2 linked regions of the Canis lupus familiaris genome follow. The protein of the gene in region 1 purifies or fractionates together with the protein of each later gene. This does not show direct contact. Links are inferred from orthologs where the notes say so. Each region holds a gene or a part of one and is shown in the gene's direction. Other genes may lie near its edges.

What was found.
Region 2: the proteins of KLF6 (region 1) and SP1 purify together in Homo sapiens (affinity purification with western blotting, with the first as the bait; 3 studies listed by BioGRID). This does not show direct contact. The link is inferred for Canis lupus familiaris from reciprocal best matches to the Homo sapiens genes KLF6 and SP1.

Annotation. Positions count from the first base shown.
Region 1 is NC_049223.1:30,691,765-30,695,577, forward strand, and holds part of KLF6 (Krueppel-like factor 6), read left to right. Parts: intron 1-541; coding exon 542-1,115; intron 1,116-2,522; coding exon 2,523-2,646; intron 2,647-3,504; coding exon 3,505-3,556; 3' UTR 3,557-3,813.
Region 2 is NC_049248.1:44,843,563-44,847,219, forward strand, and holds part of SP1 (transcription factor Sp1), read left to right. Parts: intron 1-944; coding exon 945-1,144; intron 1,145-1,587; coding exon 1,588-1,901; 3' UTR 1,902-3,657. UniProt on the Homo sapiens protein: Transcription factor that can activate or repress transcription in response to physiological and pathological stimuli.

The DNA of each region.
Region 1 (3,813 bases):
TGCGTCCGCTCGCCGAGTGTGGCCCCGGGCTCCCGGCCCCCGTGTCTCTAAAGAAAGACCCATGCAATGTCACGGCACGTTGCCTCGCGTGCACCGCGGCCTCTCTGTCTCGTGCGCCACCGAGGAGGGTGGCCCGAGCCTTCCTTGATGCGCAGGGATGTCTCTCGAGACTGTCAGGTCATCTGCTTAAGCCCGTCTCGGGAGCACGTGCCTGAGGCCGGTGTTCCCTGTGTGGTTTACAGAAACTCGGTAGTCACGTCACTGCTGGTAACCAAGGCAAAGACAGCCCAGTGACCGGCAGCCCTTGTGGCCACTGGTCCGGCCTGCGGGGGCCCTTCTCCGGAAAGCGCCTCCATTCCTAGAAACCGCTTTCCCCTCGCTCTCCTAGAGACGCGATGGTGCAGCCAGCTCCACGGCCACAGTCTGTTTGCCCTTGATTCCTGCATGTTTTTGGAAATGTGCTTTTTTTTTTTTTTTCTTTTCGGTTACACGGTTCGTTGTCATCACGATCACGTGTCTTCTTGTGGTTCCTTCCGCACAGACCTGCCTGGAGTTGGAACGCTACCTCCAGAGCGAACCCTGCTATGTGTCAGCCTCCGAAATCAAGTTCGACAGCCAGGAGGATCTGTGGACCAAAATCATCCTGGCTCGGGAGAAAAAGGAGGACCCGGACCTGAAGCTTTCCTCCAGCCCCCCCGAGGATGCTCTGAACAGCCCCGGCTTTGCTTACAACCTGGAGACCAACAGCCTGAACTCCGACGTGAGCAGCGAGTCCTCCGACAGCTCCGAGGAACTTTCTCCCACCACTAAATTTACCTCCGACCCCATTGGCGAAGTCTTAGTCAACTCGGGGACCCTGAGCTCGTCGGCCACCTCCACGCCCCCGTCGTCCCCGGAACTGAGCAGGGAGCCCTCTCACCTGTGGGGCTGCGTGCCCGGCGAGCTGCACCCCCCCGGGAAGGTGCGCGGAGGGACTGCGGGGAAGCCCGGTGACAAGGGCAGCGGGGACGCCTCCCCGGATGGCCGGAGGCGGGTGCATCGCTGCCACTTTAACGGCTGCAGGAAAGTTTACACCAAAAGCTCCCACTTGAAAGCACATCAGCGCACTCACACAGGTCAGTCCCTCCTGCGACGCGGGAGGTGGGCCGCTGGTGGGCGCCACTGCATCGCACCAGCCCTGGGAGGGGGCCGGGGCTCGGCCGGAGGCTGGCAGAGCAGACACATCCTCACCTCATGCTTCCCCAAAAGAGTTGGGTCTCTGGGGAGGACAGAGTAGGAGCTGAAAGACTGGACGTGTGTGCCCGGATCGGGTGAGACTTTCAGATTAAACAGACGAGGTAAATCCATTCTCCGCCCCCACCCCACCCCTCACTCACTCCGACCTTCCCGGGGATGGGATCGCCCGCGTGCCCGGGCATCACGTGGCGGGGACTTGCCTCCGGTTTTCTGTACTGGAACTCGAGGGTTGGGGGCGGGGGCGTCCGCGGGGCTGAGGGGTGGCAGCTGGACCCATGTGCTGGCCCCTGGCCGCTTCCCAGGAGCTTCCCCGTGTCTCCCGCGGCCTCTGTTTCTGATGCCAGTTTAAAAAACAAAAACAAACAAACAACTTTGCGATCAAAGTGCACGACTGGGATGAAACCCCGTTTGAAAGGACTGGGGTGGGTCAGATAAGGGAGCATGACCATGTGTTCTCTACGCCGGGCCAGCTGGGTGCAGAAGCCCAAAGTCCCCGGGGCACAGGGCAAGGGGGGCTCTGGCCGAGGGGGTCACCGTAAGTTCTGGCCTGCCCCAGGGCCGAGAGGGGACGCTGGAGCCCTCAGGTCAGGGTCCCCGGCGTTGCTGGCGTCAGGACCCCGGTCCCCGTCTGCCCCGACGGCTCGCTCGAGGACGGGCAGAGGCCAAATCTTGAATGGCCTTGGGTAGCACTTTTAGCTAAGTTCGTGTGTATCCTCTGACCGACCGGGAGCAGTCAGTTTGGCCATTTGATTGTCATTTAGAAAGTGCTTTGAAGGCCTTCGGATGGGGTTTCCCAGAAACTCATGACCTCAGTTTTAGAGAAATGCCGTTTCCCGGAGGAAAGTACAAAGCCTCATTCCATAGGGAAGTGAGGAAGGAACAAAGTAAGTGCTTGAGAGAGACCGTTTCCATGGAGAAAGCAATAAAACCCTGCCCCCGCCAGGGCTGTGGGTCCAGTGGGCTGACACGTCACCTCAGAAGTATTTCGCCAGTCTGAGTATTTGTCATTCTTACGCTGTAACTCTGATTACTGGTCACGTGGGCCCTGCCCGGCCTGGGTCCCCTGCACAGCCCTCGGGGGCCCCAGGCCAGGTCAGGAAGGGACCCCGGGGTGTCCCCCAGAGTGCCCGCCCGGCCCTTCACTGGGGCGTGACACGGGGGGCCGAGGCCGGGCCCCCAAGCTCGCGGATGAGTCCACTTTGTCCAGCTGCTTCCCCGTCCTGTCCCTGCACACCTCCTCCTCCTCAGCGAAGTCACGGTGTGCCTGTCGTGTGCTCTCTTCCCAGGAGAAAAGCCTTACAGATGCTCATGGGAAGGGTGTGAGTGGCGTTTTGCAAGAAGCGATGAGTTAACCAGACACTTCAGAAAGCACACTGGTGCCAAGCCTTTTAAATGTTCTCACTGTGACAGGTACGTGCACAAAGCGTAGGGGCGCCGAATGCCGTCCCCGGAGAGGCACAGGCCTGCAGTGAGGAAGGCAGGGTGGCCCGTCCCATGCCCGCACGCCTCTTCTCGGCCTCGGACTTTTTGAGAGAGTCTGTAATCTGCCAGCTGCCCCAGTTAGGGAGACCTGTGCTCTGTGTGCGTGAGACTACAGGCATTTCCTTCATATTTTCAGAAGGCTGGCTTTCAGTCCTTCCAATGGTTGAATGATGAGGTCAGGCGAAATTCTCCTGAAAGCTGATTGGCGTCCTCGATGTATATTCCCATCAGCTAGAATTTTCCTGCCCCAGAAAACCGACTGGCCAGCTGGCTGGGACTCGGAGCAGACCTCCCTTCCCTTGGAGAGGGGTTGGGGTTAGGAAGCATAGGCCAGGGGTCTGTAACCTCTGTGAAAGCCATAGAGTCTCACCTTCCCTTCTAGAGGGAATGCGGTTGGGGAGGACAGGCCAGGGGAGTCTGTAACCTCCATGAAGGCCATTGAGTCCCACCTTCCCTCTGAAGGGATTGGGGTCGGGGCGCTCAGGCCGGAGGGGTCTGTAACCTCCCTGAAGGCCATGGAGTCCCACCTTTCCTTCTAGAGGGGTTGGGGTTAGGAAGCACAGGCCAGGGGGTCTGTAACCTCCCTGAAGGCCACGGAGTCCCACGTTCCCTTCTAGAGGGGTTGGGGTCAGGGCATGCAGGCCAGAGGGTCTGTAACCTCCCTGAAGGCCATGGAGTCCCACCTTCCCTCTGGAGGGGTTGGGGGTGGAGGAGCGCAGGCCACAGGGTCTGTAACCTCTGTGAAGGCGGGAGACCTAACGTGTGGGATGCCTCTTTGCCCTGCAGGTGTTTCTCCAGGTCTGACCACCTGGCCCTCCACATGAAGAGGCACCTGTGAGGGAGCAGAGCAGCGAATCCTGCGGGCTAAAAGGCTTCCGGGCTGAGAGACAGCCGTGGAAGGAGGGTGCGCGTTCCAGCCAAAGCATGCCATTTTCGCACCCCACCCAGTTTGCCTCCAGGACCTCTACTTGGAAGGTCTTTCGAGGGCGAAAACCGTCGTGTCGGAGCGGCAGAGCACCCGCGGCGTGTGGTGTTTGGGTGGCCCTGGACTCGCCACTGGTACCCATCTCCCGAGTGCTCCCTAAGCCTTTGCCG
Region 2 (3,657 bases), on another chromosome or scaffold:
GTCTCTCATGAATAGATAAATAAAATCTTGAAGAAAAAAAAGAAAAAGAACATGCTTGGGGGCATCTGGGTGGCTCATTAGTTGAGCGTCTGCCTTTGGCTCAGGTCATGATCCTAGGGTCCTGGGATCAAGTCCTACATCTGGCTCCCTGCTTCTCCCTCTGCCTGAGTCTCTGCCCCTCTTTGTGTCTCTCATGAATGAATAAATAAAATCTTAAGAGAAAAAAGAAAGGAAGAAAGAAGAAAAGGAAAAGAAGGGAGGGAGGGAGGAAGGAAATGCTTGTATTAAGACAAACTTTGTGAAAAATACAAGAAGCCTCACAGACTTCACAAGTCATCCGGAGAGCAATTATCTCTTCATACATCAAACATCAGAATTGATTAAGGAATAGAAAAACAGGAAATAGTAAATATCCAGTAGAGAAAAAATTTAAAACTTGAATTTGGGGTATTAAGAATCAGCATCAACTAAAGATCTATGTCTTTGTTTTATTTATTTATTTAGAGGGTACGAGCAGGGGTAGGGGAAAGGTTGAGGGAGAGAGAGAATTTCAAGCATATTCCATGCTGAGCGTAGAGCCCAGCATGGGACTCAGTCACATGACCCCAAGATCATGACCTGAGCCTATATCAAGAATCAGATGCTTAACTGACTGAGCCACCCAGGCACCCCTAAAGATTGATATTTTGGTACTAAAGAGAAGCCTGCCCTCCCTCCTTCCCTCTCTCCCTCCACCCCCAACATGGGGCTTGAACTCATGACAGCAGGATTAAGAGTTGCTTGCTCTATTGACTGAGCCCACCAGGTGCCCCAAGAGAAGTGTTTGTTTTTAAATAGAAATTTGGGTTAGTTTTGAGTGGGTCAGGTAATAAATGTTAACATTTTGGGGTTCTTTAATTCTTGTCTCTAGAATGCATTATGAATAGTTGTGTTCTTATTTTCAGAGGCTCTGGGGATCCCGGCAAAAAGAAACAGCACATTTGCCACATCCAAGGGTGTGGCAAAGTATATGGCAAGACCTCACACCTACGGGCACACTTGCGTTGGCATACAGGCGAGAGGCCATTCATGTGTACCTGGTCATACTGTGGGAAACGCTTTACACGTTCGGATGAACTACAAAGACACAAACGCACACATACAGGTGAGAAGGAGCCCCGGGAGGAAAGAAATAGTAATAGCATAAAAAGACACAAAATATATCTATGAAATAATTAAATTTCTGAGTAATTAAGTTTGAAAGTGAATATATGGAACATAAATGATTCGAATTGGAGTTTATCTGGAAAACCTTTCAGAAGGAAGGAGCTAGGTGTTCAGTGGGATTTTAAAGGAGGACCATGGCCCCATTATTCTTCTCGGTCCTACCTTACTTTTCTACTGTAGTCCTTCCTTTCTAGTACTCTTTGACCTTTACCTATTTTTCTGCCCCCACTCTCTCAAAAAGAAAAAGATACCAGATTTTTCTTGTTTTTATTACCTTCTAAGACTAATATTCTGTCCCATATAGTTTGAAAGCAGTAAATTGGACAAGGTAACCCTACTTCGTAAGATGTTCATTTCTTGTCTTCTTTCTCTTTTACCAAGGTGAGAAGAAATTTGCCTGCCCTGAGTGTCCCAAGCGCTTCATGAGGAGTGACCACCTGTCAAAGCATATCAAGACCCACCAGAATAAGAAGGGAGGCCCAGGTGTATCCCTGAGTGTGGGCACTTTGCCCCTGGACAGTGGGGCAGGTTCAGAAGGCAGCGGCACTGCTACCCCTTCAGCCCTTATTACCACCAATATGGTAGCCATGGAGGCCATCTGTCCAGAGGGTATTGCCCGTCTTGCCAACAGTGGCATCAACGTCATGCAGGTGGCAGATCTGCAGTCCATTAATATCAGTGGCAATGGCTTCTGAGATCAGGCACCCGGGGCCAGAGACATATGGGCCATACCCATCAACCCTGGGATACAAGGTAGCATGGGTCCAAGAGACATGTGGGAGAGAGAGCCATGAGGCATTAAAATGCATGGTGGTGGGAAGAATTGGGGGAGGGATACAAGAGATGGGGTCCTGGCATCCATCTATTATCATCAGTACCTCCTGAAGTGAGAAACGTTATTGAAAATTCTGTTGGTGCCACCCTTTATGAGCATTTGTTTGACCCCACACAGTTTCTTACACTTCTTTCCCCAGCTTTCCCTTCTTGCATTTCCCTTCTCAGCTCCCCCATGATGGATCCCCCCTTTCCTAAAGCCATCATGCCTTGATAAATATATATGATCATTGAAATACTTTTTAACAAAAAAAAAACCAGATTCTATATTATATATATATATATATATATATATATAAAAGATATATAGAGATGCATTTGCAGGGGTTGGCTGGGAGGAGGAAGGAGACCATTCTGTGACCAAAAATACCTTGGTCATTTTTTTATATTGCCTTATTTCCCTATGGCTGAGCCTTGTTGTGACACATCAAGCTTTTCTATAGATGTTGTCTTGGCTTCCCACCAGATTAAGCGTTCATATGCTCTGCTTTTAGTTTATATATACATACATAATGTTTTTTCTTAATTTTGTCTTTTTATTTGGGATCAGCTTCTTGTACTCTTTTCTTGACTCAACCTTTCTGTCTCCCTTTCTCTCACCTGATCACTTCATGTTTTGGTTTTGATAATGATCCCTGGATGAGGCACTTCTGTCAATCTTTTAAGGTCCTTGGTCCTAGCAGCAGAGTGGAGAGAGCCTTGAAGCCCAGGCTGATGCTTGAGTTAGCTGTGGAGAGAGTGTTCAAAATACTACTGACGCAGGCACCCTCTTGGCGCTGGAGAGTCCAAGGCACCTCTCCTCATTAGCTGCTCTAAGCATCAAGAGTCAGACGTCTTTCTATGGAATTGTACAAAAGACCCTTTAAAGGTTATATAATCTGGGATCAGTTTGTATAAATTGTCAAAAATGGTCAAGTAAAAGCTAGGGGCTTTCAATAGGAAAATGATGTGCTCAGAAGTGGAAGTGACTCAGAGTAGTCCAGTTCAGGAGTTAGTAGAGTATTTGGACATTTGTACAGCTGTCTTCCAAAGTAGCTCTGAGCTTTGGTGTATGGGTTTCTGAGGTCATATTCTGAAAGGAAATGCACTTCCTCTTTTGAACATCCCCAGTAGTTTCTTTCTCATGTTATTAAGGAACATCAGCCAATGAATCTGTTCGGGTTTCCATTCCGCAGAACTCCAGAGCATGTACTAGTGGCAAGGCAGAGGTTCTTTGACCTTTTCCCTTAACTCTTCCTTGGGTGGTTCCTGAGGGAAAAGGAAGCACACGATCATGGGAGTGATAGCCCAGAACAAAAAGAAATCTTGTCTTACCACTGTGGTTTATAAGAGAGATCGGGAGACACCATCCTGCTTTCTCCATGGCCTGATTCCTGAAGAGACTGATCCAAAAATTATAGCGGCAGGGAACTCTTAGTGCATTTGGCACTGAGATTTAAATGCAACCAGAGTTGTCCTCAAGGCCCAGCCATTAAAACGTTGTCTCTCTTGACCTTCTGGTATCCTGTCAGAGAGCTTTTCACTGTGAGGAAGTGTGGAAATGGCTGTGTGTATGTGTGTAACCTGTTAGGTTGGGGATAGGTTTTCTGTTAGCCTATACTAAAAAGAGACCTGCAA